Linked DNA regions of Anolis sagrei. The protein of the gene in region 2 interacts with the protein of the main gene of each other region in a pairwise test. Links are inferred from orthologs where the notes say so. Each region holds a gene or a part of one and is shown on either strand. Other genes may lie near its edges.

What was found.
Region 1: the proteins of SALL2 (region 2) and ZMIZ2 interact in binary tests that used the Homo sapiens proteins (3 or more experiments, as listed by UniProt). The two-hybrid records come from large-scale screens. The link is inferred for Anolis sagrei from reciprocal best matches to the Homo sapiens genes SALL2 and ZMIZ2.

The regions. Positions count from the first base shown.
Region 1 is NC_090027.1:15,222,663-15,238,456, reverse strand, and holds the start of ZMIZ2 (zinc finger MIZ domain-containing protein 2), read right to left. Parts: upstream 8,368-15,794; 5' UTR 7,912-8,367; intron 1-7,911. UniProt on the Homo sapiens protein: Increases ligand-dependent transcriptional activity of AR and other nuclear hormone receptors.
Region 2 is NC_090026.1:10,882,750-10,898,643, reverse strand, and holds the start of SALL2 (sal-like protein 2), read right to left. Parts: upstream 8,358-15,894; 5' UTR 8,284-8,357; coding exon 8,211-8,283; intron 1-8,210. UniProt on the Homo sapiens protein: Probable transcription factor that plays a role in eye development before, during, and after optic fissure closure.

The DNA.
Region 1 (15,794 bases), on a different chromosome or scaffold from region 2:
GCGTATTGCGTCCAAATTTGGTGTCAATTTCTTCAGTGGTTTTTGAGTAATGTTAATCCCACAAATGAGCATTACAATTTTATTTATATAGATTGAGAACAGAATACATCTAAACCAGGCATGGGCAAACTTTGGCCCTTCAGGTGTCTTGGACTTCAACTCCTACAACTCCAAATTGTGGGAGTTGAAGTCCAAAACACCTAAAGGGACCAAGTTTGCTCATGCCTGATCTAAACTGTATAGGCCTAAGGTGCAGCCTGTGGCTCGTGGTTCTCCATCTCTTGCACAGTGAAAAAGCCTTCAGAGATCAAACTGCACAGGGGGGAACTTTCTCATTACCTTATATTCAAACCAATACTTTTAAATCAAAATTGTTCATGGTCACAGTTACAGGTCTATTTATCAGCCAATAATGAAACATTAATGCAGAGTTTCTATCAGTTGTTCAAACCAAAGACCAAGCTAGGATTCATTCTGCAAAGACTGGATAGATATATTAACCGCTGTATTGGACTGGATGAGGGCTAACAAATTGAAACTGAATCCAGACAAGACAGAGGCACTCCTGGTCAGTCGAAAGGCCGAACAGGGCATAGGGTTACAGCCTGTGCTGGATAGGGTTACACTCCCCCTGAAGACGCAGGTTCGCAGCTTGGGTGTGATCCTGGATTCATTGCTGAGCCTGGAACCCCAGGTTTCGGCGGTGACCAGGGGAGCATTTGCACAACTAAAACTTGTGCGCCAGCTGCGCCCGTACCTTGGGAAGTCTGACTTGGCCACGGTAGTCCACGCTCTGGTTACATCTCGCATAGATTACTGCAACGCGCTCTACGTGGGGTTGCCTTTGAAGACGGCCCGGAAGCTTCAAATGGTCCAGCGTGCAGCAGCCAGGTTGCTAACAGGAGCGGTGCTCAGGGAGCACACAACTCCTCTTCTGCGCCAGCTCCACTGGCTGCCAGTTTGCTACCGGGCCCAATTCAAAGTGCTGGCCTTAGCCTATAAAGCCCTAAACGGTTCTGGCCCAGCCTACCTATCCGAACACATCTCTTCCTACGAACCCTCCAAGAAGTTAAGATCATCTGAGGAGGCCCTGCTCTCAATCCCGTCTGCTTCGCAAGCACGCTTGGCGGGGACGAGAGACAGGGCCTTCTCTGTGGTGGCCCCTTGGCTGTGGAACTCCCTGCCTAGGGATATTAGATCAGCCCCCTCCCTCCTGACCTTTCGTAAGAGAGTGAAAACCTGGCTCTTCGAGCAGGCATTCGGAACCCCGAAATAGTCAAGCTTGAGATGGAGAATGACCCAGGAACGGCCAAGACGATGAAACGGATGAGGATTGGATTGAGAGGATATAGCTCTTTTTAAATTGTTATTGCACTGTCTTTTTTGTCTAAATGCACTTAATTGTTTTTGCTTTTGTATTGTATTGATGGCATCGAATTGTGCCGATATGTAGACCGCCCTGAGTCGCCTGCGGGCTGATATGGGCGGGATATAAGTGATGTAAATAAATAAATAAATAAATAAATAAACCTGTTTTCTCTAGAGTTACAAAGCAACTCAGTGAAAAAGTTACCAAGGAGGAAATAAAGCATACTGTTGTTAGCCTTCACTTCATCCACATTCAAACAACTAAATATTTGCTGCCAAATCCTTAGTAAGGAAAAATAATACACCCAAGGTATAAGAACCAGAGACAGGTAGGACAAGCTTTGCAGGACCAACCCTACTAGCCAAACTGTTGATGAGTATTCCCTGGCCTGTGATGCCTATCCTTTCAAATTTTCATAAAATGTGGAAGCTTATGTGCTTATAGACTTATGCAGAGTACTCAGACTGCAAACATTTTCTTCTTTCTCAAGTTGCTCAACCAGAGAAAGGGGTATTTGTCATGACAACTTGGTAATATGGCCTGTCTGGTACATTTGGGTCCATAGAAAGGAGAGAGGCTGCTTGATTGCAGTGTTCAGATTTGTGGAATTCTCAATCTGTTTTGTCTTCTGCTCCAGGGAAGAGCCATAGTTCACGGGGTAGTAATCTTTTGATAAATAAAATTAAAAAAAAGGAACCCTCTTATCTTCTGACATTGTGGAAAGAATGCTGCATGAGTTTTCATGCTTTCAGGATACCCCCTTACCCTATGAATCACAACTTAAATTAAACTCTCTGCAGACAGATTGGCAGTGTTTAGCCAAACAGAAAGGACAAAATGAGCTGAGTATCTGGCAACATGAAGAGCCGATGTCCTCTCCACCCTTCCCTTCAAATTAAAAACACCCAAGAGTAACGGCAGAAGACAATTTGTATTAGCTGTAGATGCATTTCTTCACAATGCTAGATCACAATCAGGCCACAAAACAATAAATGCAATTTCACACCTGCATTAAAGAGTGAAAAAATAACTCTTTTGTTTGTTTTTCTTCCACAGGATAAACAATACCAGCAAGGAAACTAGAAGATATTGGAACTGCACAAATAGCAGAGTAGAACAAGTTAGAAGATATTCTGTGGGCATTGCTTTGCTCCAGCAATGTGGCATCTTCTCAATCCTAGCACAGGTAGCTCAAGACCTTTAAAGAGAGGAACACACTGTTTTCTCTCTCACTTCCTTCCTTGGTTGGGTTTTCAACTTATAAATCCCCCCCCCCCCCGCCATTCACTCCCACCTAAGGCTGAAATCGTGCACAACTCTTCAGCTCTCTTCTTCACAGGAAAACTCAATGAAGCATCCTCCAACTCCTTAGTAATATCTGTCTTTCTCATTTCATTCTTCAGGATGATTTTTTAACAAGATGTAGAACTATAGGCACCTTCCCCATCAGATGTTTTTGATTGCAAGGACCATCAGCCCCAAAGAGTACATCCGATGTTTGGGGCTTATGAGACTGAAGAGCAGCATTATGATGTGGGGGGGGGGGGCTGATCGACAACACTGCCTCCTAAAATCTGGGTCCCAGCCTCAAATGGGGTAGTCTTAGCTCCATGTTGGGGTCACAAAAATTGACAACAGTGTAAGTTCTCCCAATGTCACTTTGTGGTTGTTTCAGGCATTTGGTAACCTCAAGGTTGGACTTCTATGATGCACTTTACATTGGGCTACCCTTGTACCAAGTTTGGAAACTCCAAATGGTTCAAAATACAGCAGCCAGATTGGTTACTGGAACATCTAGGAGTGAGCATATTACACCTATCCTAAAGTTAAACCACTGGCTGCAAATTCGTTTCCGAGTGATGGTTTTGAGTTTTAAAACCCTGCATGGCTTGGGTTCAGGTTACCTAAAGGATCACCTTCTCCCATACAATCTGCCTCACACACTTCGGTCTTCTGAGAGACGTCTGCTCCAAACAGCCAGAACCCAACTGGCAACCACCACCCAGAGGACCTTTTCATCAGCTGCCCCAAGACTGTGGAACGACCTGCCTCTAAATCAGCTGTCGGAATTTAAGACACAAGTGAAGACCTGTCTCTTCTGGCAGGCCTATCAAGACAATCTTTAAACATAATCATGAATTTAATGCATGTCCTTTGTTTAATCTCTGTTTTGTCTGTTTTAACATGTATTTCATAGAGATACGTTTTGGTATGGAACTTTTATGGAGGTACCTTTTAGTGTGTGTATTTGTACTGTTTTTGCTATGTTTATGTATTTATTTATTTACAACTTAGATATCCCACCCTTCTCACCTTGAAGAGGACTCAGAGCGGCTTACAAGTTATATATACATACAATATATTATTAGCATAGCACCATCTTAGAATTATATATTACTATATTGTACTATACCATTATATTGTAATATTATTAGTAATATTACATGTAATATAAAATATATAGTTATAATATCATATTTTTATTAGTATTATATTGCATTACATTACAATATTATACATATTATATGTATATACAATATATTATATTACTTTAACCCACTGCACCATCGGGGGCTCCTATAAAAAGGGAAACCATCTTGCAATTGCTGATCCTCGCACCAGGAAACATTTGAGTTTTGTACCTGTTTTACATCATTGGGGCTACCTCAAAATATCTCAAATACCGAATAGAGGTCATGAATTAGAATAATAGAATCATAGAGTTAGAAGAGACCTCATGGGCCCTCCAGTCCAACCCCCTGCCAAGAAGCAGGAAAATTGCATTCAAAGCACCTCCGACAGATGTTTAAAAGCCTCAAAAGAAGGAGGTTCCACCACACTATGCCTAAGTGGAGTATCTTGCAATTGAAAAGTTTGAAGAAGCCCCAACCTACAACAGGGCTTTCTGAGAGATGTTCCCTGAGGGCGGGCACTTGTGGACATTTTAAGATTTGCCAGCATGGAGGGTAAAACAACAAACAAACCCAAGAGCTGCTCCTTGGGAAAATATGCCAGCTTCTAAGAAACAGAGACAGGTAGGACCAGCTTTGCAGGCTCTATCAACCCAACTGTTGCTGAGTATTATTATACTATTACTAGCCATCCCCTGCCCTGTTGCTGTGGCCCAGTATCTGCATATGTGTTTTGTGTGCTTGCGTTATGTGTATATGTGTGTGTGTGTTATACACATATGTGCTATGCATATATGTGTGTTATGTGTATATATTTGTGTAGATGTGTATATATGTGCGTTCGCATATATATGTAGTTGTGTACATGTGTTTATTTATTTATTTCATTTATATACTGCTTTTCTCAGCCCTTAGGTGACTCAAAGTGGTTAACAACAGCAAAAATTCAATGCTAAACATCATATAAACAGTTAAGGGACAGATAAAACAGTAGCATAATAAACAATTAAGCATCAATATAACAAATCATTAGTGTCTCATCAGTAGAATCAAGATCCAATCTCATCATCCGTTATTGTAATTTTTTGTTTTGTTTTTTTTGGCTTTTAAGTCCCTTCTGTTGTGTTTTTCAGTGTTTTTTTATGAGTGATAGTCACTTGTTGGCCTGATAGGTGTCTTGTGTCCATATTTGGTGTCAATTCGTCCAGTGGTTTTTGAATTATGTTAATCCCACAAACAAACATCACATTGTGTGTGTTATACACATATGTACTATGTGTATATATTTGTGTAGGTGTGTATATATGTGCATTTTCATATATATATGGTTGTGTGCATGTGTTGTAATGTATTTTTTGGGTTTTTTGGCATTTTAAGTACCTTCTGTTGTGTTTTTCAGTGTTTTTATGAATAATGGTCACTTGTTGGCCTGATAGGTGTCTTGTGTCCAAATTTCGTGTCAATTCATCCATTTTATTGATATAGATTCCCTGACCTGTGGTGTTGACCCATTCAAGTGTTCAAGAAACGTGAAAGCGTGTAATCATATGTTGCTTATATGCGAGTTATATTAATTGTACTGTTTTATTTGCTTGCTGCTTTGTTTTTTACTGATGTTGGGCTTGGCCTCATGTAAGCCGCCTCGAGTCCCCTTGGGGAGATGGTGGCGGGGTATAAATAAAGTTTTTTTAATTATTATTATTATTATTATTATTATTATTTGAAACACAACGAGATGAGTCCACAGCAGACACTCTGCTGGCTGTTGTATCGGATCACACGTCGGACACTTCCCTACTGTCTGGGACTGTGTATCGGCAAATAATGCCCGACTTTGGAACTCTTTACCTGGAGAGATTAGGAAAGCCCCTTCATTAGAAATGTTTAAAAAGAACCTTAAAACCTGGCTCTTCCGCTGCACCTTTGGTGAGTAGGTGCATGCCATGATATTTTGCACCCCTCAACGTTTTTGCTGGAGCTCGCGCCCCCAAATGGAAAGTTTAGCCTCACAATTCTATGTATTTTATGAGTACCTGTAAATGTTCTGCTCCTATTTTGTCTCATTTCAGTCTTTGAATTGTTTTTATCCTATTTTTATCCATTGTTACCGTCACCATGATTGTGTTTATTAGAATGATCTTTTATGACTGCTGCTATTTTTTAAATATAATTTTGATGATGTTGTTGTTATTTGTTGTTAATGTTTTGATTTTATTGCTGTAATATGTTGTCCGGGCTTGGCCTCATGTAAGCCGCACCGAGTCCCCATTGGGGAGATGGTGGCAGGGTATAAATAAAGATTATTATTATTATTATTATTATGTATGCAGATCCCAGTAAGGTGGCCTTCTGCAGCTGGCAGATGGTAATTTTGTCAGCGCCGATTGTGTTTAAGTGCAGTTAAGTCTTTAGGCACTGCACCCAGTGTGCCGATCACCACTGGGACCACCTTGACTGGCTTGTGCCAGAGTCTTTGCAGTTTAATCTTTAAATCTTTTAAATTATTATTGTTATTATTATTATTGGGAGGGATAGCCAATACTCCAGAGGACAGGAGCAGGATTCAAAATGATCTTGACAAATTAGAGAGATGGGCCAAAACTAACAAAATGATGTTCAACAGTGACAAATGCAAGATACTCCACTTAGGCAGAAAAAACGAAATGCAAAGATACAGAATGGGGGATGACACCTGGCTCGAGAGCAGTACGTGTGAAAAAGATCTTGGAGTCCTCGTGGACAACAAGTTAAACATGAGCCAACAATGTGATGTGGCAGCAAAAAAAGCCAATGGGATTTTGGCCTGCATCAATAGGAGCATAGTGTCTAGGTCTAGGGAAGTCATGCTACCCCTCTATTCTGCCTTGGTTAGACCACATCTGGAATATTGTGTCCAATTCTGGGCACCACAATTCAAGAGAGATATTAACAAGTTTTGTTATGGAACTGTTGATTCTACACTTTTAATAATGATTGTGCTATTTTGAAAGATGACTTCCGTGGATGTAGACACTATACTCCAACGGGATTTTGGCCTGCATAAATATGAGTCTAGTGTCTAGATCCAGGGAAGTCATGCTACCCCTCTATTCCGCCTTGGTTATACCACACCTGGAATATTGTGTCCAATTCTGGGCACCACAATTGAAGAGAGATGTTGACAAGCTGGAATGTGTCCAGAGGAGCGTGACTAAAATGATCAAGGGTCTGGAGAACAAGCCCTATGAGGAGTGGCTTAAGGAGCTGGGCATGTTTAGCCTGAAGAAGAGAAGAAGGCTGAGACGAGACATGATGAGGACCATGAATAAATATGTGAGAGGAAGCCACAGGGAGGAGGGAGCAAGCTTGTTTTCTGCCTCCCTGGAGACTAGGATGTGGAACAATGGCTTCAAACTACAAGAAAGAAGATTCCATCTGAACATGAGGAAGAACTTCCTGACTGTGAGAGCCGTTCAGCAGTGGAACTGTCTCTTCAGAGTGTGGTGGAGGCTCCTTCTTTGGAGGTTTTTAAACAGAGGCTGGATGGCCATCTGTCAGGGATGCTTTGAATGCAATATTCCTGCTTCTAGGCAGGGGGTTGGACTGGATGGCCCATGAGGTCTCTTCCAACTCTATTATTCTATGATTGTGAATATTATCTTTCAAGTACAATCAGTGGAACTCTCTGCCCCAGAGTGTGGTGGAGGCTCCTTCTTTGGAGGATTTAAACAGAGGCTGGATGGCCATCTGTCGGGGTGCTTTAAACGCAACATGCCTGCTTCTAGGTAGGGGGTTGGACTGGATGGCCCATGAGGTCTCTTCCAACTCTATGATTCTAATGGATAAGGGAGGCTCCAAGCGGGCCCATCCAAGAGAAGGCAGGCAGGCAGGCGCCCTTTCCTCGGCCTCATGGCGCCCACAGCTCCCCGTGGCATCCCTTTTGTTGCCATGGAAACTCCCCCCCCCCCTTTTTTTGGTACCCCTCAGCCAAAACCACCCTAAGCAGACAGGCGGGGATGATCTTAGCAAACAATAAAACATGGCAGCCTGGGAAGGGGGTTGGGGCCTTCCAAGAACCCCCCCCCCCCACAAACCCTGCCAAACAACAAGGCCCTCCGCCCGCTTCCTGAGGGGATAAGATGGCAAACGCACCAGGTTAAAATGGCCCTCGCAGCCGCCGCCGTCGCCGCCGCCGCCTCTCCCTTTTTCCTTCTCTGAGGAGAAGAGGAGGAGGATGAGGAGCTGCTGCTGTTCCCGTTCCCTCACAGGCCTGGCCGCCCGGGCTCCATGGCGGCCGCGGAGGAAGGCGAAGGAAGACGAAGAGGAGGAGGAGGAGGAAGCAGCTCCCTGCCGCCCGCCCGCCCTCAGCGCCGCTGCCCGAGCCCTACAGCCAGGAGGACGAGGAGGAGGAGGAGGAGGAGCGCGCCGCGGCAAGAGCAGCGCCGGCAAGGCTCCCCGCCTCCATCCTGCCTGCGCTTTTCACCTCAGAGCTCCGGTTGCACAATAGAGAGGCCCGGCTGCCTCATTAGTATGCACGCCCCGCCCACTCCGCCGCTTCCTTCGGCTTCAGCGGCGGTGACACTGACACTCACAGCAATGGAGCTCTTATCTCCAGCGGGAGGGGGAGAAGGGGCGTGGCCTGCGCCTGCGGCACCGCGCGCCCCGCCCCCTCCGCAAGCCCCGCCCTCGGAGGCGCTGAGGGAAACAGTTTCCTGAGGAAGGAAGGAAGGAAGGAAGGAAGGAAGGAAGGAAGGAAGGAAGGAAGGAAGGAAGGAAGGAAGGAAGGAGGGAGGGAGGGAGGGAGGGAGGGAGGGAGGGAGGGAGGGAGGGAGGGAAGGAGGGAGGGAGGGAGGGAGGGAGGGAGGGAGGGAGGCGGAAGAGGGGCCTTCCTGCTTCCTGTGTCCCTTTTCCTCCAAGGCGGCGGAAGGCTTCCTCCATCCCTCAGGGATGAGGAGGGAAGGTCGCCTCAAAGGAAATCCCGAGCTCGGCTTTCCCGGGCCTCAGCCATGGAGGGAGAGAAGCAAGGAAATATATTTATTTATATCTGTTATAGAACTCCAGAATGCTGATGACAATGTCGTCTGTGCGCATTCAGAAGAAGATCTACAAGCCACTCTAAACACCTTCACAGAAGCATACGAGAAGCTCAGCCTCTCATTGAACATCAAGAAAACCAAAGTCACCAGCCAATCCCTTTCCAATACCACAGATAATAATAATAATAATCCTTTATTTATAACCCGCTACCATCTCCCGCAGGACTCGGTGCGGCTTACAGGAGGCCGAGCCCAAATACATCAATAAAACACAACAACAACAATACAACAATAAATAACTCGTAAGGCATAACAATAATATCACGACGCATTTAAAACCTGTGGCAGGGCCAAATGTAATGATTAAAATTTTATAATGCTGGGCATGTTCAAGAGAAATAGGATGGATATTTTAGGGATATGTGGGTGTGCAGACAATTCTAAATCTCTCGTAAAGATACAGCTTAATGGCATAACATTAGAAAATGTAGACCATTTCTGCTACCTTGGCAGCCACCTCTCTACCAAAGTCAACATCAACACTGAAATACAACACTGCCTGAGCTCTGCGAGTGCAGCTTTTTTCCCAGAGGCACTGAGGGAAGCAGTTTCCTGAGGAGAGGAGGAGGCAGGCGGAAGAGGGGCCTTCCTGCTTCCTGTGTCCCTTTTCCTCCAAGGCGGCGGAAGGCAGGGAGCTCGCCTCAGGCCTCCTCCATCTCTCAGGAATGAGGAGGGAAGGTCGCCTCAAAGGAAATCCCGAGCTCGGCCTTCCTGAGCCTCAGCCATGGAGGGAGAGAAGCAAGGAAATATATTTATTTATATCTGTTATAGAACTCCAGTATGCTGATGACAACGTCGTCTGTGCACATTCAGAAGAAGATCTACAAGCCACTCTAAACACCTTCGCAGAAACATACGAGAAGCTCGGCCTGTCATTGAACATCAAGAAAACCAAAGTCACCAGCAAATCCCTTTCCAATGCCAGAGATACAGCTTAATGACGTAACATTAGAAAATGTTGACCATGCACATATAAATGACAAGCATTCAATGCCATAGACACACAACACATATAGACCAAAGACACAGAGGCTATTTAACATTCCAGCTTCATGAGGGTGTGCTTTTTGAATTCCGGCCACCGGGGAGATGTCACTTCACCATCCACTTGTGACACCGATGGAGTATTTCTTCATTCTTTTTGCACACTACTGGAGAGTTTTATGGCATCGTAACTTAGTTAAATTAGCCTCCCCGCATAAGCAGTACCTAAATTTCCTACCTGACAGATGCAACTGTTTTTCGGGCTGCAAAGGTCGACAGCAAGCTAGACAAATGGCTGGAAGCTCACGCTGACCCGGGCTGTCTTCGGCCCAGCAGCAGAGCAGGGAGCTCACCTCAAGCCTCCTCCATCCCTCAGGGATGAGGAGGGAAGGACGCCTCAAAGGAAACCCTGAGCTCGGCCTTCCTGGGCCTCAGCCATGGAGAGAGAGAAGCAAGGAAATGTATTATTTATTTACTTACTTACTTAACAGCATTTATAATCCGCCCTTCTCACCCCGCAGGGGACTCAGGGCGGATCACAATGCACATATACATGGCAAACATTCAATGCCATAGACACACAACATATATAGATAAGAGACACAGAGGCTATTTAACTTTCCAGCTTCATGAGGGTATGCTTTTTGAATTCCAGCCACCGAGGGAGCTGTCGCTTCACCATAATAATAATAATAATTTTAAAAACTTTATTTATACCCCACCACCATCACCTCGAAGGGGACTCTGGGTGGCTAACATGAGGCCAAACTCAAAGATACCAATACAGCAAAATAAAATACAAAATGCAGGCAACAAAATTTCATCAGAATAATATACATAAAGTAGCAAAATAAAATAAACAGAAGAGATGGACATATATAAAATCAAACACAATGGGCAGGCCAAATGGACGAGGTAAAATGATAAAACCCTGGATGAGGTAGGAATAGAAAAAGTGTAATTGAGAGGAGCCCAGAAAGGATGAACAGTGGTGTTAGACTTTCAATTTAGGATGGGGGAAAGTGCATCATAGGGGCAACACTGTAGATGGAACAAACAGAACTCTCCAAAGGCACATCGGAAGAGCCAAGTTTTCAGATTTTTCTTAAAGGCTGCTAAGGTGGGGGCTTGCCTAATCTCACCAGGTAGTGAATTCCAAAGTCGGGGGCCACAGGGCTTTTTCTCTTGTTCCCACAAGTCTTGCCTGTGAAAAAGGAAGAGGCGAAAGGAGGGCCTCCCCAGAGGATCGGCGGGATCGTGCATCGGTGTCACCATCCACTTGTGATGGTGTCCTTCCTCATTGTTTTTGCACACTGCTGGAGAGTTTTATGGTGTCGTAAATTATTTAAATTAGCCTCCCCGCATAAGCGGTACCTAAATTTCCTACTTGACAGATGCAACTGTTTTTCGGGCTGTAAAGTCTGACAGCAAGCTAGACAAATGGCTGGAAGCTCACCCTGATCCCGGCTGGCTTTGAACTCACGACCTCTTGGTCAGTAGCAGATTTTAATGCATCTGACTCTGAACCAGCTGCGCCATGACCTGGTCCAAGAAAGAGTACCGTTCTATTACCCGAGTGGTGACCACTAGGGGGCGATAGAGAGAGGATATAGTCCATTTACAGCAGTGGTTCTCAACCTGTGGGTCCCCAGATGTGTTGGCCTTCAACTTCCAGAAATCCTAACAACTGGATGGGATTTCTGGGAGTTGTAGGCCAAAACATCTGGGGACCCACAGGTTGAGAACCACTGATTGACAGGAAGGGATCCATCCAGTCCATACTCCAGGAAATAAAGCCTGACTACTCACGGGAGGGAAGGATATTAGAGGCAAAGATAAAATATTTTGGCCACATAATTTTTTTTTTTGTCGTGTCAGGAGTGACTCCTGGTGTGAGAGAATTGGCCGTCTGCAAGGACGTTGCCCAGGGGACACCTGGATGATTTTGATGTTTTTATCATCCTTGTGGGAGGCTTCTCTCATGTCCCCGCATGAGGAGCTGGAGCTGATAGAGGGAGCTCATCCGCCTCTCCCCGGATTTGAACCTGCGATCTGTCGGTCTTCAGTTCTGCCGGCACAGGGCTTTAACCCACTGCGCCACCGGGGGCTCCTGGCCACATAATGAGAAGACTGGAAAGCTTGGAGAAGACAATGCTGGGGAAAATGGAAGGAAAAAGAAAGAGGGGTCAACCAAGGGCAAGTTGGACGGATTTCAAGGAGACCCTAATGATATATTGTTTTTATTATCTTAATGTTTTTAAGTGTATTTTATGGTCTTGTTACCGACTGTAGACCGCCCCGAGTCGCCTGGGGGCTGAGAGTTTACGGTAGTTTACGGTATATAAATATAGTAAATAAATAAATAAATGTCATCCTTGAAGTGACTGGCTTGACCTTGAAGAAGCTGGGGGTGGCCACAGACGACAGGGCTGCTCTATGAAGTCATGAAGGGTCGGAAGCGACTGAACAAATAAACAACAACGGAGAGCGAGTTGAAGGAGGAAAACTATTTCCCCCATTTTCGCAGGTTGTTTCCACCATGGGATGGGTGGGGAGAATAACAGGAAAACAGGGGGAAATGGTTTTTCTCCTCCAACCCACCCTCCACCCTGTAAAAATGACTGTCCTCTCTCTTGCACCCCCGGTGGCCTCCGACGGGATAATGGAACAGTACCAAAGAAAGAAAGTTGGGCCCTGGCTGTTGTGCATTGGAGAACCCGTCCAAGGCCTCATCCACATGGACCATTCAATGCACTTCATATTGTGGCAACCAGGCAAGATTTTGCCACAATAGTGTGCGAAAGAAACAATTCCGCACTTTGTCTGTGTGCCGTGGTTCCTGCGATCCCTATCTGGACCTCCCAGTATTTTCTGTATGCTGGCTTGAAACTGCATTAAGTAGTCAGTGAAGATGGGGCCACCATCACCAACCCAGATGGATTCGCTTCCTCCCTGGCAGGATTCTCTTGCACTGACTGCTCCTTCCCTCCAAATTAAGAGAGAGATGTGCTGATTACCTGATGCAGGAGTTGTGGAAGGTGATTGAAGGCCTGCTCCAAAGGTCACTAAGCCTGGCTTTTTGCATTATACTTCATGGGCCCGGCAGCCCAGCACTTATAGGATCTCGGGAGCCATATTTGTAGGGCCACAATTGATTCCTCCCTCTGCTTTGTGAGTTTGATCAGGACTCAGTCACAGAAAGAACCAGTTATGAGGTTTAGCAGAAAGATCAGGGGAAAGACAATGCCCCTTCCCCATGATATGGCTCCGAACTTAAGTAATGGCTCCCCCCCAAAAAAACCATAAATTTTTTGAAGAAAAGTCAAAACCTGGCTCGAGCGAGCTTTCACAAATGCAGCATAACAGGCAAATATGGAACTATTTGATGATGCCATTGGAAAATGAATTTAGTAAAAAGATGCTGATGATTTATGTTTCTTATTGTTTTTATATTATTATTTTATTATTATTATTAACTTTATTTGTACCCCGCTAGCATCTCCCGGAGGACTCGATGCGGTTTACACAGGCCGAAGCCTCAAAACACAATACAATAGAAAACATAACACAACAATAGCAAAGCAAATCAAAACAATAAGCAAAATAACGACAATGGCAGTACATCAAGACATTATTAAAACTGGTTCGGCCGGCGCAATGGGGTACAAGGTTAAAAGTGCTGAATGGCAGGAGGCACGTAGGATTAAAAGTGCGGTGTGCAGCGACGATTCGTTATGCTAAGGTGCTACTAGGACTTGGGGTGGGGATTCCTAGTCAGAGGAATTTTTTATATTATATGTGGAATGTTTTAAACTGTATTTTTATGTCTGTCGTGGCATCGAATTGTTGCTGACTGTAAACCGCCTTGAGTCACCTTCGGGCTGAGAAAGGCGGGATACAAATATCATTAATAAATAAATAAATAGCCCTTTGAAAACATCCCCTCAAAACACATTAAAATGGAATGAAATGTTAATCGGTATCCAACCTTATAAGAAGACAGAGAGGAGCAGAAGACAGTTCCATCTTGTCTTTACTAATAATATAGTGTATTGTATATACATATAATATTTATAATATTATAATGTAATACAATATAATAGTAATAATAATACAATATTGTCGAAGGCTTTCATGGCCAGAATCACAGGGTTTTTTCGGGCTATATGGCCATTGTCTAGAGCAGAGGCGGCCCTAGGTAATTTTCAAAGGTAAGCAAACATTATTTTGGCGCCCCCCCCCCCTCAACCAATCACTGAAAAATAAAACATAGAAGGTAGAGGTGAATAAAAGAGTTACCTTACAAACCAGAAATTTACTTATGTTCATATAGTTACATTACCTAGAATTAACACAAATTAACTTTTTTTAGAATGCAAATATTTTATTAAACTTAGCAACAATTTTAAGTTTTTGTTGTTATTTTTGGTCTACAAGTACTACACAAAGGTTTATTGGTCATGCTGTCTCTTCAAAAGATTTTTCAGACTAGGGTCTTGCTAATAACAGAGAACTCAAACCCATGCTTGTTGGGTCTGTAAATCAGATTTGTTTTGGAGAACGCAGCCCTAGGAGAATAGACACCTCCTTTTTAAGAAAGCGAACTCTTGTCCTTCAAAAGTGCCATGCCAGCCTGGACCATTGCAATGGGTGTGGCAACACAGCCAGCATCTGGCCCCTTCACTTGACTGGATACTTTAACATCCAGTTTTGTTTTTTTAACACAAATAAACTTGAACACTTTTAAAATTAAAAAGATATTTTTCTGGCTTTCAATTTTGAAAACTCGTGTACTATTATATCTCTTTCCATTTCATCCAACAAGCCATTTTCAATGGCCAAGGTTGCTAGTCCACTCAAGCGCTCTTGACTCAAAGTTGATCTTAAGTACGTTTTTATAAGTTTTAATTTTGAAAAACTCCTTTTACCGCTGGCCACAGATACTGGAAGTGTTAACAGAATTCTCAATGCAATATAAACATTTGGGAAAGTATCCACATAACCACGTTTGGTTATGAAAGACAACGCTTTCGCTGGATGACTTCCAGGGGGCAGCATGGTTGCAAATATTTGTAGCTATTCAAACAGATCATCACCTTTCACATCACAGTCTTCACTATCAGCCAAAATGGTTTGAAGGTGTTGACAGGCATTCTTCAATTCTGTTTCATTCAAACTTTTCCCAAGGCTTGAAATGTCATACTGGGATCAGATCTTGGGATATAGGGCCTGTCTGGAAGGGCCCCTAGACCCCTTCTACACTGTCCTTATAACCCAAGATCCCATCCCAGGTTATCTGCTTTGAACTGGATTATATGAGTCCACACTGCCAGATAATCTGGGATAAACAGAAAACCTGGGATCAGATCTTGGGATATAGGGCCTGTCTGGAAGGTCCCCTAGATCCCTTCTACACTGACCTTATAAACCAAGATCCGATACCAGGTTATATGCTTTGAACTGGATTATATGAGTCCACACTGCCAGATAATCTGGGATAAACAGAAAACCTGGGATCAGATCTTGGGATATAGGGCCTGTCTGGAAGAGCCCCTAGACCCCTTCTACACTGTCCTTATAACCCAAGATCTGATCCTAGGTTATCTGCTTTGAACTGGATTATATGAGTCCACACTGCCAGATAATCTGGGATAAACAGAAAACCTGGGATCAGATCTTGGGATATAGGGCCTGTCTGGAAGGGCCCCTAGACCCCTTCTACACTGTCCTTATAACCCAAGATCCGATCCCAGGTTATCTGCTTTGAACTGGATTATATGAGTCCACACTGCCAGATAATCTGGGATAAACAGAAAACCTGGGATCAGATCTTGGGATATAGGGCCTGTCTGGAAGAGCCCCTAGACCCCTTCTACACTGTCCTTATAACCCAAGATCCGATCCCAGGTTATCTGCTTTGAACTGGATTATATGAGTCCACACTGTCAGATAATC
Region 2 (15,894 bases):
AGGTCTCTTCCAACTCTTTGATTCTATGATTCTATGAAATACTCAATCTGCCCAAATGTGAACACTGGTGGAGTTTGGGAAAAATAGAACTTGACATTTGAGAGTTGCAGTTGCTGGGATTTGTAGTTCACCTACAATCAAAGAGCATTCTGAACTCCACCAACGATGGAATTGAACCAAACAAATACTCAATCTGCCCAAAAGTGAACACTGGTGGAGTTTCGGGAAAATAAACCTTGACATTTGGAATTTGTAGTTACTGGGATTTGTAGTTCATCTACAATCAAAGAGCATTCTGAATTCCACCAACGATGGAATTGGACCAAACAAATACTCAATCTGCCCAAATGTGAACACTGGTGGAGTTTTGGGGAAAATAAAACTTGACATTTGAGAGTTGCAGATGCTGGGATTTGTAGTTCACCTACAATCAAAGAGCATTCTGAACTCCACCAACGATGGAATTGAAGCAAACAAATACTCAATCTGCCCAAAAGTGAACACTGGTGGAGTTTCGGGAAAATAAACCTTGACATTTGGGATTTGTAGTTGCTGGGATTTATAGTTCACCTACAACCAAAGAGCACTCTAAACCCATCCCACAATGGATCTGCACCAAACCTGGCACACTACATACTACCTACGGGCCAACATTGAATACTAGTGGGGTTGGGGAGGGGCTGTTTTTGAATTTTGGGAGTTGTAGTTCACCAAAAGGAAAGAGAAGGCCAAATGGAGAGATCTGCAGCCTTTTCATGCGAAAGGGGTTGCTAAGAAATATGCGTTTTTGGTGGGGTTGGGGAAGGGGGCTGTTTTTGCATTTTGGGAGTTATAGTTCACCAACACCAAAAGGGAAGAGAAGGCCAAGTGGAGAGATCTGCAACCTTTTCATGTGAAAGGGGTTGTTAAGAAATATGTGTTTTTGGTGGGGTTGGGGAAGGGGGCTGTTTTTGCATTTTGAGAGTTATAGTTCACCAACACCAAAAGGGCAAGTGGAGAGATCTGCAGCCTTTTCATGCGAAAGGGGTTGCTAAGAAATATGCGTTTTTGGTGGGGTTGGGGAAGGGGGCTGTTTTTGCATTTTGGGAGTTGCAGTTCACCAACACCAAAAGGGAAGAGAAGGCCAAGTGGAGAGATCTGCAGCCTTTTCTGCCAAAGGGGTTGCTAAGAAATATGGGTTTTCTGATGGTCTTTGGCGACACCACTGAACCCCCCCTCCCGACCCCCAGGTTGAGATACACTGAAATAAACCGGGGGGGGGGGGGTTAGTGGATGGATAGGAGGAAGGAGGAAGCTGTTGAGTGTTTTCCTAATAGAGAAGCAGAAGGCGAACAGACAATGGGGAAAGGAGAGGAGGCAAGCAAGGTCCTCACTGAGGCCTCGCCAAAAAGGCGCACACAGAGCTGAGCTGCGTTGGGAGGAATTGCAGCAACTCCTAGGGGTAGAAAAAAAGGGGGTGCAGGAAAGGGGTCCCCCTTGGGTTTGCCTTGACCTCCCTCTCCCCAAATAAAGACCCCCCCCACCTCCCAAGGCTGGGCTTGCGCCCTGGCCCCCTCCCCAGCAAGAGCGCGCATCCCTGGCTTTGCAACGCTCTCTCGGCCCCACCTCCGGGCTCCTCCAGCATCATCACGTCGGCGGCAACAGCTGGGGCGCCTTCCCCCGACGCCTCGGGATCCCCCGGGCTGCTCATCTCGGCCGCCCGAGGCCTCCGCAAGAGGAAGAGGAGGAGGACGGAGAGGAGGAGGAGGGCGAAGGAGCAGCAGTGGCAAGACGAGCGGCTGGCTGGGCGGCTGCCGAGAGCGGCTCCCCGGCGGCACCCGGCTGCAGCAGCAGGGACCTCTGGTGTCGGGAGGGTGGCTCTGGCTGCTCCTGCCAGCGCCACCAAGGCTGGGGAAGAGGAAGAGCAGGAGGAGGAGGAGGAGGAAAAAGAGAAGGAGGAGAAGGAGAAGAAAAGGCGAGGAAGTGGACGAGGAGGGGAAGAGGGGGTGAGGAAGAGGAGGAAGAAGAAGAAGAGGAAGAAGAAGCGGAGGGGGAGGAAGAATTAGAGGAGGAGGAAAAAATGAGGAGGAGGAAGAAGAAGAAGAGGAGGAGGAGGAAGAAGAAGAGAAGGAAGAAGAATGAGAGGAGGAGGAGGAAGAAGAGGAGGAAAAAGAAGCGGAGGAAGAATTTGAGGCAGAGGAGGAAGAAGAGGAGAAGGAGGTAGAAGATGAGGAGGAAGAAGAAGAAGAAGAAGAAGAGGAGGAGGAGGTAGAAGAAGAAGAGGAGGAGGAATTAGAAGAAGGAGAGGAAGAAGAATAAGAGGAGGAAGAAGAAGAGGGGAGAGGGAAGAAGAAGAAGAGAAGGAAGAAGAATGAGAGGAGAAGGAGGAGAAAGAAGATGAGGAGGAAGAAGAAGCGGAGGAAGAATTTGAGGTGGAGGAGGAAGAAGAGGAGGAGGAGGTAGAAGATGAGGAGGAGGAGGAAGAAGGAGAAGAGGAGGTGGAAGAATTAGAGGAGGAGGAGGTAGAAGAAGAAGAGGAGGAGGATGAAGAATTAGAAGAAGGAGAGGAGGAAGAAGAAGAGGGGAAGGGGAAGAAGAAGAGGGGAGGGGGAAGAAGAAGAGAAAGAAGATGAATGAGAGGAGGAGAAGGAGGAGGAAGAAGAGGAGGAGAAAGAGGGGGCGGAAGAAGAGGAGGAAGAAGAGAAAGGAGGAGGAGGAAGAAGAAGGAGGAAGACTAATTAGAGGAGGAGAAGAAAGAAGAAAGAGGAAGTGGAGGAAGAAGAAGTGGAGGGGGGGAGGATGAGGAAAAGGGAGGGAGGATGAAAGACGAGGAAGAGGAGAATGAAACAAGAGGAAGAAGAGAAGAAGAAAGTAGAAATATAATGGAGGAGGATAACAGGCAAGGAAGAGAAGGAGAAGAGGGAAGAAGACGAGGAAGTGGAGGAGGAAGAAGAAGATGAAGTGGAGGAGGAGAAGGAGGAAGAAGAATAGGAGGAGAAAGAGGAAAAAGAAGGATGGGGAAGAAAAGAGGAAGAGGGCAAGGGGAAGGAAGAGGAGAAAGATGAAGAGGGGGGGCAGGAGAAGGAAGAGAGGGAGGAGAAGGAAGAAAGGTGAAGTGGAGGAAGGAGAAGAAGTTGAGGAGGAGGAAGAGGATAAGAAGGGGAAGAAGGGGAGGGGGAGGAAGAGGAGAAGAAGAATAGAAGGAGAAGGATAAAAAGCAAGGAAGAGGAGGGGAAGAGGGAGGAGGATGAAGTGGAAGAAGAGGAAGAGGAAGAGCAGGAAGAAGATGAGGAGGAGGAGGAGGAGGAGGAGGAGGAGGAAGAATAGGAGGAGGAGGAAAAGGGTGGGGGGATCAAAAGAGGGGCCAGGGGGAGGAAAAGAGGGAAGAGGAGGAGGAAGAAGAGGAAGTGGAGGAGGAGGACCAACCGAAAGGAAGTAAAAGAAGAGGAAGGGGGAAAGACAAAGATGGCAAGAGGAAGGAAGAGGAAGAGGAGGAGGAAGAAGGATAAAAGGCATGGAAGAAGAGGAGGGAAAGAGGAAGAGGGGAGGAAGAAAAGAGGAAAAAGAAGAAGAGAAAGGGAAAAGAGAAGGAGGAAGGCACTGAGCTTCAGCTCCACAGCACACCTGGAGGGGCTGAGGGAATCAGCAAGTAGCTGAACAGGGGACAGGGGAGCCAGGATGTAGAATTAATGGAGTTTCACACCACTTCAGGTGTTTTGGACTTCAACTCCCACAATTCCTAACAGCTAATGAGATGGCTGGAATCTCTGGAAGTTGAATTCCAAAACACCTGGAGGACCAGTGGTTGGGAACCATCTGGTATTCATTGGCTATCCGCCATCCAAGTAGCAACCAGGACTGATACTTCACACCTAGCTCCAGCAGACAAGAGTCCTTTGTCTCACCCTGGTCATTCCACAGATATAGAAACAATTTTTCCTAGTTCCAACAGACCTCACTACCTCTGAGGATGCTTGCCATAGATGCAGGCGAAACATCAGGAGAGAATGCCTCTAGACCATGGCCATATAGCCCGAAAAAATCTACAACAACCCAGGACTGATCCTGTTTAACGTCTAAGACCTGATACCTTTCAATGGAAGCTGACCATAGAACCTCATTGGAGGATTTAAGAGATTCCTAGAGACATGTTCCCTCTAGAAATCTCCAGCTCTTCCAGGAGGCAGGTAACTACAGGGTCTCACTGGAAAACTTAGAGATTCTTAAAATAGTTTGTGAATAATCAAATCTGCAAAAGTCAGAACTGTAGAGCAGAGTGGAGGGTAAGTCCTGGCACCACAACAACTGGGAGGAAGCTAATTAAGAAAACGCCCTCCCTCTTTAACAAATCCCACACAGGGTTGGGCTGCACATTGCTCTGAAACATAGCAAGCAGTCAGTGCAAATATACAGGCGCATGGAGCGCACATAAATATGTCTGCTGAAGTTTGCTCAGGAACACTTGCGCACAATGACCCCATCAGCCTGGAAGGCAGGCTTTCCGCCTTAATTTGCAATCCAATTTCCTTGCACCTAAACAAACACTTCCCAAAGAGATTGCAAACTTGCCCGCTGCACCTAAACACAAGTTCTTCCTGGGAGAATGAGAACACAACCTATTTAATGTTGTCTTTGCCTTGAACATTTCAGAAGGCGGCTAGACTCCAGGCAGTTGTCACAAGCAAAAGCCCCCCAAAAGAAAAAAAATAGAGGAGGGGGATGGCGAATTTAACTTAGCACAAGAGGGACTACCTAGGCCTCCCTGAGTAACTTAGCAACAGCACAAAGAGCGGAGAAAAGAGGCAACAAAAATATGTGGGTGAGGAAGTGTGGCCGAATGCATGTGTGTGTGACCCCGGTCTGTGCATGAAAGGACGCAGAGGGCTGTGAAAGAGCCGGGCGAGAGAATGCATGGGAGCAAAGAAAAGAGATGCAAAATGAGATGCAAGCATTCTCTGGGTGCCAGAACATGGGAAGGACAGAACATGGCAAAATCCACAAGAAAGAGGATGTGACGGGTTTGTGAGATTGTGGGGCACAGTCTATGCACACCTGTGGAATTGGCATCAGTGAATGAAGAAACATAGCCTGACAAAAGGTCATAGAATCATAGAGTTGGAAGAGACCTCATGGGCCATCCAGTCCAACCCCCTGACAAGAAGCATTCAAAGCACCCCCGACAGATGGCCATCCAGCCTCTGTTTAAAAGCTTCCGAAGAAGGAGCCTCCACCACACTCCGGGGCAGAGAGTTCCACTGCTGAACAGCTCTCACAGTCAGGAAATTCTTCCTCATGTTCAGGTGGAATCTCCTTTCTTGTAGTTTGAAGCCATTGTTTCGTGTCCTAGTCTCCAGGGCAGCAGAAAACAAGCTTGCTCCCTTCTCCCTATGACTTCCTCTCACATATTTATACATGGCTATCATGTCTCCTCTCAGCCTTCTCTTCTGCAGGCTAAACATGCCCAGCTCTTTAAGCCACTCCTCATAGGGCTTGTTCTCCAGACCCTTGATCATTTGAGTCGTCCTCCTCTGGACACATTCCAGCTTGTTAACATCTCTCTTCATTTGTGGTGCCCAGAATTGGACACAGTATTCCAGGTGTGGTCTAACTAAAGCAGAATAGAGGGGTAGCATTACTTCCCTAGATCTAGACACTATGCTCCTATTGATGCAGGCCAAAATCCCATTGGCTTTTTTTGCTGCTGCATCACATTGTTGGCTCATGTTTAACTTGTTGTCCATGAGGACTCCAAGATCTTTTTCACAAATACTGTTCTCGACCCATGCATCCCCCATTCTGTATCTTTGCCATGCGCCCCCCATTCTGGTCTTAGTGTAGGCATGGTCAAACTTCAGTCCAAGTGGCTGAGGGGCAAAAAGAAGGGGGTCTGAGACTGTTAGGAATGGTGAGAGTTGAAGTCCAAAACACAGGATGGTAAAACATCTGGGTGTCCCCTGGGCAACGTCCTTGCAAACGGCCCACCAGAAGCGACTGGTGGAGGCTTCTTCTTTGGAAGAGGCTGGATGGACATCTGTCAGGGGTGATTTGAATGCAATATTCCTGCTTCTTGGCAGGGGGTTGGACTGGATGGCCAATGAGGTCTCTTCCAACTCTTTGATTCTATGATTCTATGACTTGTAGTTTCTCAAGTGGCTCCTGACATGAAAAAAAAGTACTGATCACAGTTGATATTTCCACTGTCTTATTAAAGACCTTGTAGAATGAATTCAGCTTGACGCCACTTTACTTGCCATGGCAGAATGTTAGTGAATCATGTGAGTTGTAGTTTGGTGAGGTACCAACTCTCTTTGGCAGAGGAGGCTAGATACCTGGTAAACAACTGCAAGGATTCCATAGTACTCAGCCATGACAGTTACAGTGATGTCAAAGAGTATTAATTATACAGTATAGATACATCCTTTAAGGAGATGACTTACTCTAGTATAGAACTGGACTTTATGTGGACTTTATTTCTGCCTTCCCTCTCTTCCAATAGGGAACTAAAGATACCTTACAACAATAAAATACAGCTAGAATCTAGTTTTTGGGGTTACCACAGCTCTTCTACTTATGCATCTCCCACTTTGCCTTCCTCTTCTTCTAGCTTTATCTTCCATAACATTGCTGGGTTCACTTTTTGCAGCTACCTGAGTGGTTATGTTCTCCCTACAAGGCAACTGAGCTATTGTTTGGTTTGTATGCTATGTGTCTGGTGGGAACACTTGGAAGTGTCGGAGGGCCATTTTCAAGTCATGCAGACCCTACATGGACCACAGTATGGCCATTTTCCAAAAATGGAAGTGACATTTTGCTCAAGCGGTGGAGAGACACAACAATTCCCTATTTATGGTTCTGCTCCCCCCACCCCCACCATAACATTAGGACCATTTAACTGATTATTGCCCCATTGCTCTATATCAGTGGTTCTCAACCTTCCTCAACCTTCCACATGCTGCGACCCCTTAATACAGTTCCTCATGTTGTGGTGACCTCCAGCCCTAACATTATTTTCGTTGCTGCTTCATAACTATCATTTTGCTACTGTTATGAAATTTGGAACAAATATCCCATAAGCCCAAATTTGAACATGGTGAGGTTGGGGGGTGGGGTGGGTGGGTGGTGGTGGTTGATTTTGTCATTTGGGAGTTGTAGTTGCAGGGATTTATAGTTCACCTACAATCAACAAGCATTCTGAACTTCACCAACGATGGAATTGAACTAATCTTGGCAAATGGAACTCCCATGAAAATACTGAAAGGGTTTGATGGGAATTGACCTTGAGTTTTGCAGTTGTAGTTCACCTACATCCAGAGAGCACTGTGGAGGAAGGCAGGGATGGAGGGAGGGAGGAAGCAACCAGATGGATACATTGATATGACTGCATGAGAGTAAGGCCCCTTCTACATTGCCATATAATCCATATTATCACAGCAGATAATGCAGATTATCTGCTTTGAACTGAATTATATGAGTCTACACTGCCATATAAGCCAGTTCAAAGCAGATAATCTGGATTTTGTATGGCAGTGTAGACAGGGCCCAAGGGCCCTTCCACACAGCCCTATATCCCAGAATATCATGGCAGAAAATCCCACAATATCTGTTTTGAACTGGCCTTGATATACTGGGATCCTCTGCCTTGATATACTGGGATAGAGGGCTGTGTGGAAGAGCCCTAAGAGTGAGGAAAAGTGTGTGTGTGTGTGTGAGAGAGAGAAACAAACCATCACACTCTTAAAAACTCACTTTTTTTGTACTATTCCTCCCAGATATTCCCAACCAGCTCACACTGCGCATGATCGCTCGGGGATTCTAGGGAACAGTAGCCAGAAAAGTAACTTTCCTCAGTTCTGGGCATCTGTGTTTGCACATGCTACAAAAGTTATGCCCTGTTTTCTCGCATCCCTTGCTTTTGTTTCTCCTTCTCCAGCTCCAAAACCCAAATCCATGTGTTTGAGCACAGATGTGTGGGAGAGAATCCATCTCATGCAACATTGTAAGTAGCCCAGCTGCTTGAGTTTCCCAATACACTTTTTTCTACTTGTGAGATTCATCTTTTCATCTGCTCTCTTTCCTCTCTCTTCCCAGGCCTCCTTGAAATGTTTCCCCTGCACCAGCACTATGCATGCTTTGCTATACATTGATGCTAAGCCCCCCTCCCCACCCATGCCTATAATGGCACCTGCCAGGAGACCCTCCCAAATTTCTCTTCCCCACTCCCCAGCACCCACCGTTCTCAGAGGCTGTGGACCCTTCACAGTCAGAGATGAGTTGCTGGGGGTTGCGCTGTTTCCTCCGAGACATCCCTGCTGGGGTTTGGGGAGGGGACCCCAAGTCTCTGTCTTTGGTGGGGAGCCAGTGGGCACCTGACCCTGGTCTCTCGGGAATGGCATCCCTCCCCTTGCCCCCCCCCTTGCAGCCCCTTCCCCTTTCACACATCCTCAGGGGACACGCCTCCCCCCCTTTGTGCCTCTCATTGTAAAAGCAAAACTCTTAATCTTTCTGTACACTCTTTTTTCTTTTGTACTGGCAGGATTGGATGGGGGGAAAGAGGGAAGGAGAAGGAAACTTAACTCTTTCTTTCCCTGAATTGCTCCCTTGGAAAGAGAAGAAACTTTGGGGGATCTTTATTTCCAACACTGAAATCTGGCCACTTCTGGAGAGAAAGGAATCAGAGCAAAACCTGGGCTGAAATTAACTAGATTGCTCTCAAACCCCTTCTTGCATTTATGCCCAGTGATTCCATTATTTCCATGCCACTAAAACACCCATTTTGGGGTGTTTATTAATTTTTGGGACATAAGCGTTTTTGGTTTTCCCCATTGAAATCCAGATAGTCCTAGAGTGGAAGGAATCAGAGCAAAACTTGGGCTGAAATCAACTAGATCAGTGGTTCTCAACTTTCCTAAAAAAAAATTTCCGTGGCAGGAGCGACTTGAGAAACTGCAAGTTGCTTCTGGTGTGAGAGAATTGGCTGTCTGCAAGGACATTGCCTAGGGGATGCCCGAATGTTTTGATGTTTTACCATCCTTGTGGGAAACTTCAGTTATTTCCCCACATGGGGAGCTGGAGCTGACAGAGGGAGCTCATCCACACTCTCCCTGCATTTGAACCTCTGACCTGTCGGTCCTCAGTCTTGCCAGCACAAGGGTTTAACCCATTGATTGCTAACTGGAGCAACATATGACCCCTCTGTTATGTCAGCTTCACTGGCTGCCGGTCCACTTCCGAGCACAATTCAAAGTGCTGGTCTTGACCTATAAAGCCTTATATGGCTCCGACCCAGCTTACTTGTCAGAACGTATCTCCCTGTATGTCCCACCCTGCAGTTTAAGGTCCTCCAGGGAGGCTCTGCTCTCGGCTCCGCCAGCTTCGCACATTTGTTTGGCGGGAACAAGAGACAGGACCTTCTCGGCTGTGGCCCCTCGCCTATGGAACTCGCTCTCCAGCGAGATGAGGTCGGCTTCTTCCCTCCTGTCTTTCAGGAAAAAATTAAAATCATGGTACTGGGACCAGACCTTTGGACAACAGATGTAGCAGCACTTGGTTATGGAACTGAACTGGATTTGACAAAATTATGAATTGAACTGGACTGGCTTCATGCTGTTGACAAATGTTTTAAGTGCTTTTAACCTAATGATTTATTTGTTGCTTTAAACTATTGATATATTGTTTGTTGTATTTATGGCATTGAATTGTTGCCAATGTAAGCCGTCCCGAGTCCCCTCGAGGGTTGAGAAGGACGGGATAGAAATGCCGGAAATAAATAAATAATAATAAATGGAGCCAGTGGGAGATCCTAATGCCGCAACCCCTTAACACAGTACCTCATCTTGTGGTGACCCCCAAACCATAACATTATTTTCGTTGCTACTTCATAACTGTAATTTTGCTCCTGTTATGAATGGCACAATGTTAGTGAATCATGTGAGTTGTAGTTTGAGAAGGTTAGAAAGCTTGTAAACAACTGCCAGGATTCCATAGTACTCAGCCGTGACAGTTAATTATAGTGATGTCAAAGTATATTAATTACACAGTAACCTTTAAGACAGTGTTTCTCACCCTCCCTAATGCTGCGACCTCTTAATACGGTTCCTCATGTTGTAGTAATCTCCAAACCATAAAATTATTTTTGGTGCTATTCCATAATTGCAATTTAGCTACTGTTATGAATTGTAATGTAAATATTTGATATGCAGAATGTATTTTCATTCACTGGATCAAATTTGGCACAAATTTGGTGGGCTTGGCGGGGGGATTGATTTTGTCATTTGGGAGTTGTAGTTGCTGGGATTTCTAGTTCACCTACAATCAAAGAGCATCCTGAACTCCACCAATGATGGAATTGAACCAAACTTGGCACACAGAACTCCCATGACCAAGAGAAAATATTGGAAGGGTTTGGTGGGCTTTGACCTTGAGTTTGGAGTTGTGGTTCACCTACATCCAGAGAGCACTGTGGACTCCAACAATGATAGATCTGGACCAAACTTGGCACAAATACTCAATATGCCCAAATGTGAACACTGGTGGAGTTTGGGCAAAATAGACTTTGACACTTGGGAGTTATAGTTGCTGGGATTTATAGTTCACCTACAGTCAAAGAGCATTCTGAACCCCACCAACAACAGAATTGAACCAAACTTCTCATACAGGACTCCCATGTCCAACAGAAAATACTGTTTTTTCTGATGGTCTTTGGCAACCCCCTTGAAACCTCCTTGTGACCCCCCAAAGGGTCCCGACCCCCACGTTGAGAAATGCTTAACTACATCAAATACTTTCTTGCCTTCATGCAAATCCCATCTCTAGTCGCTTATCACATTTATGGCCAATAATGATATACTTCCAAGTCACTAAGATACCCATTTTGTGACTGTGAAGTCTTGGCCTTATTTTAAAGAGATAAAAGTACATAAAGGTATACTGATAGCCACTGGGGAATAGCCAGGCAAACATAGTTTTCCTTCAATCCCAGGCGTGGCATCACAGTGATGTTTCTTAGTTTTTGGGGATAGATGTTTTTGGTTTTTCTATCCAAATTCAGCTTCCTTTGGAGTGGAAAGAATCAGAGCAAAATTTAGTCCGAAATTAACTAGATCACCCTGAAACCACTTCTTGCATTTAAGTCCAGTTATTCCATACTTCCAAGCCACAATGATACTCATTTTGGGATGTTTCTTATCTTTTGGAGGTAAATATTTTTGTATTGACATTGAAATATTTCTGCTTCTGGCATGGAACAGAATCAGTGACACTTGGATTGAAATTAATTACATCACCCTCAAATCACTTGTTGCGTTTATGCCTGGTAATTCCATACTTCCCCAATCCCATACTTTTTGGGATGTGTCTTAATTTTTGAGATGGACCTGTGTGGTTTTGCCACTGAAATCCAGCTGCCTCTGAAGGGGAAGGAATCAGAACAAAATTCAGGCTGAAAATAACTGGATGATGCTTAAATAGTTTCTTATGTTTATAGGCAGGAGTTCCATTCCAACAAATTATTAAGATGCTCAATTTTGGGATAGATATTTGGGTTTCTCCATTGAAATGCAGATAGCTATGGAAATCAGAGGAAAACTGGATGAAATTAACTGGATCAGGATTCAAATGATTTTACTCACAATTATGCTTGTACTTCCATGCTCCACCAACCACAGTGACATTTGCTTTGTGAGAGAGGAAGTATACATGCTTACTATCTGGACAATTGGAGCCCCTGGTCGTTCAATGGGTTAAACCCTTGTGCTGGTAGGGCTGCTAACCGAAAGGTTGGTGGTTCGAATTCGGGGAGCGAGGTGAGTTTCCATCTGTCAACTCCAGCTTCCCAGGTGGTGATATGAGAGAAGCCTCCCACAGGATGGTAAAAACATCCGGGCGTCCCCTGGGCAACATCCTCACAGAATTCTCTCCCACTAGAAATCTCAAAACACTCCTGACATGGAAAAAAAATCTGGAGAATCTATTCCTAAAAGATCCTTTCTTAAAATTTTTTGGACATAGACCTTTGTGGGTTGCCTGGCTGGTATTTTTAAAGCATTCCTCCACACCCTTAATTATGCCAGAATTAACACTGGAATCACTACGAGATTGAAGTTCATCCTTTAAATGAGACTAGAGGCTTGTCCTTTAACCTGCGGTCTCCATTTGCATTCCCATCCTATTTATTTATTACCATATTTATTATGTCATGTTAATATTGTCGCTCTCTAAGGCACCACAAAATTTGTTTTTATTTTTTTAAAAGCAGTTGAATCCTCCTTAAATGAAAGAGGGGAACAATTTATTTTCTCTTGAACTATTTTGGTTACAAAAATGTGGGATTGAAAGAGGACGTTGTCTCTCTAAAAGCACACTTCTCTCAAAAATCAATCCATTGGCCTGCTTTCTTTTGTCTCCTCTTCCCCTTCCTCCTGCAACTTTTTAATCTTCCTTCCTAGATTATTTTCAAATTTGTTTATTTCTTCTTAATTTTCTCATGCACCTTCCTTCATTCCTGCATATTTCTTTCTTTCCTCATTTGATCTTTCCCTTTCTTTTGCATTTAACTTGATCTCTTCCATTTTGCCAACCAGCTAGCCTTTCTCCCAGGTCTGTCCTCCTTGCCTCCTTGCCTCCTGTCCTTCCATCCCTCCCTCCCTTCCTTCTCAATTCACTTCCCCCCCCCCCCATTCCTTTTGCTCCACCCTTCCCCATTTAATTTTATTGCAGCTTGCCAAACAGGTAGCTTTCTTTTCAGGTCTATCCCTGCCTTCCCTTCCCCTTCCCCTTCCTTCCTTCCTTCCTTCTCCCCCCCCCCCCCCCCGCTTCCTCCCTTCTGCATTCACTTCCTCCCATTCCATCTGCTCCATCCTTTATTTAATTTTATTCCAGCTTGACAAACAGGTAGCTTTCTTTTCAGGTCTATCCCTCCCATCCCATCCCATCCCTTCCCTTCCCCTTCCCCTTCCCCTTCCCCTTCCCTCCTTCCTTCCTTCCTTCTCCTCCTCCCTCTTCCTCCCTTCTCCATTCACTTCCTCCCAATCCATCTGCTCCATCCTTTATTTAATTTTATTCTAGCTTTCTTTTCAGGTCTATCCCTCCCCTTCTTCCTTCCTTCCTTCCTTCCTTCCTTCCTTCCTTCCTTCCTTCCTTCCTCCCCCCCCCCCTTCCTCCCTTCTGCATTCACTTCCTCCCATTCCATCTGCTCCATCCTTTATTTAATTTTATTCCAGCTTGACAAACAGGTAGCTTTCTTTTCAGGTCTATCCCTCCCATCCCTTCCCCTTCCCCTTCCCCTTCCCCTTCCCCTTCCCCTTCCCCTTCCCCTTCCCCTTCCCCCTTCCCCTTCCCCTTCCTCCTTGTTTTCATGACTATTCCTTCATTCTTTCTCTTCTTATTCTCCTCCCTATCTTCTTTCCTTCGTTTAACTTTCTTCCATTTGACCAGCCAGGTAGCTTCCCTCCCTTTCTTCTTTCCTTCCTTCCTTTGATCTCTTCCATCCTCCATTTAACTTCCAACCAGCCAGCCAGCTTGCTTGCTTGCTTCCCTCCCTCCCTCCGATCTCTTCTTTTCTTTCCCATGTAACTTCCTTCCTTTTCTTTTCGGCCCATGTCCACATAGCTACCTCCATCTGTCCTGGGCACCCCATCCCTTCTCCATCCCTCCTGTCTCCCATCCCCCTTTGAAAGCCAACATCTTTGACTCTCCCTCCTCCACACCAATCCACTCTTCTTCTTTTTCTTCTCCTTTTTTCCACCCCACACCACTCCTGCCTCCTTTTTACCTCTTCGCTGTGGCCTTTTGACCTCCCCCCAGAGCTACAAAAGTAAAATCCTCGGGAGAAGCTCGCTACGGGAATGTTAATGAATCCCCCGCACAAAGGCATAAAGACTTTTCCTTCAGCGCTTTGGGGGGGAAGATGGGCCCCTCTGAGACTATATTTGTGTGTGTGGCGGAGTGGAGAGGATTTCGAGAGGGGGGTTGAGATGGGATGTAGGCACAGGGTCTCCAAAAGAGCCCAGAAAATTAGGAAGAGGGGAGAAGAAGCACTTCTCTTTCCTCCTCTGCCCTCTTTTCTTTTATCAGTTGCTCAATTCCGTCACCTGTGCCCATAGGATCGGGATTTAATTTGGAGTTGGAGGAGAGAGAATGTGAGACCTGGCCTTTGAAAGGACAAAGAATTAAAGAGACTAAAACCAAGTCTCCCTCGCTCTGCAAAAAAAGTCAGTCTCCTGAATCTTCTATGCACTTCTGTGGGAAGGCCAAGTAAAAATGAAGCACCAAATCTTCTATCCCTTTGTGCCTTCAGGAGAACGTGCATCTATCAATATATTTCCAAAATCATACGCCTACTATGCAAGCCTACTATGCAAATATATTTGGCGTGAATATGGGGAGGATTTGACGCTTGGAGATAATGTAACTCCTCAATTATCTCTTCTAAGGTTCCTTTTTAAAAACAACTCCCAGAGTCCTCCAGCAATGTATGTTTAGCTTGAAGGAGAGAAGACGGAAAGATATCACAATAGCTTCTTTCAAATATCTGAAGCTGGGAATATGTAATCAATGCTCTAGTTACATCTCAAATAGACTACTGCAACACAATCGACGTGGGTTGCCTTTGAAGACTGTTTGGAAGCTTCGACTAGTCCAAAGACGGCAGCCAGGATGCTCACCAGAGAGCCAAACCGAGAGAGAACATCCCTCCTGTTGCATCAGCTCCACTGGCTGCCAGTCTACTACTGACCACAGTTCAAAGTGCTGGCTTTAGCCCAGTGGCTCCCAACTTGTGGTCTGTGGATCACCAGTGGGGCTGCAAGAATTAAAATATGGTCTGTGGCCTCACTGTTACTACACCGTTGCAACCCTCTTACAGTGCCGAGGCTTATTAAATATGCTTTTCTGTGGGTGAGTAGTTGGCGACTACTGGATGTCATCTGTTCTACATCAGAAACTAGAGCTGATGTTTGTCAATCATCTCAGAGGCATTTTGCTTGCGTTGTCCATGGAAATCATCCGAGCGCTCTGTTAACTTAGAATCATGGAATCATAGAATCAAAGAGTTGGAAGAGACCTCATGGGCCATCCAGTCCAACCCCCTGCCAAGAAGCAGGAATATTGCATTCAAATCACCCCTGACAGATGGCCATCTACTTGTGGTAGATTCCTTCAGCGAATACAATATGAAGCTGTCATCACCAAGGAACTGGTTGAGATCATTTCTGGTGCTGCCGCTCTGAACTAAGGGCTAATCAGAAAGTGAGTTTCAAGCAAAGTCCAACAGGTAAAGAGAAACTCTTCTGACAGGTGGTTTACCCCACTTCCAACCTAGAGAGGAGGAGTCAACTCTTTGGTCCATAAGTCTGTGAAAAAAAATCAGAGAATACCAACTATTTATAAAGTCTTTATTTCAATAAAATCCTACACGAAAAAAAGATACTAGAGCTGATGTGATCAATCCAATGCAATATTCCAAATCAGCACCCCAAGTAACCAAACCAAATCTAAAGTTGACCAAAAACTGATTTTGGTACTAATGTTGGAGAGGGGTCCCTGGTCAAATGGTCCCTGGTTAAAGTCCCTCATGAAGTTGTCCCTGGACAAAGTGGTACCTGGTCAAAGTGGTTCCTCATCAAGTGGTCCCTGGACAAGTGGTCCCTGGTCAAAGTGGTCCTTGGTCCAACCCACTTTACCTGTTTGAATGTATCTCCCTCTATGAGTCACCTAGAAGGTTAAGATCTTCTGGGGAGGCCATGCTCCTGGTCCTGCTTCCTTCACAAGGGCGACTGGTGGGGATGAGAGACAAGGCCTTCTCAGTGGTGGTTCCTCAGCTGTGGAGCTCCCTCCTTGGAGCATTAGATAGGCCCCATCGCTCCTGGTCTTCAGGAAAAGGCTAAAGATGTGGATATTTGGCCAAACATTCTACCAGTG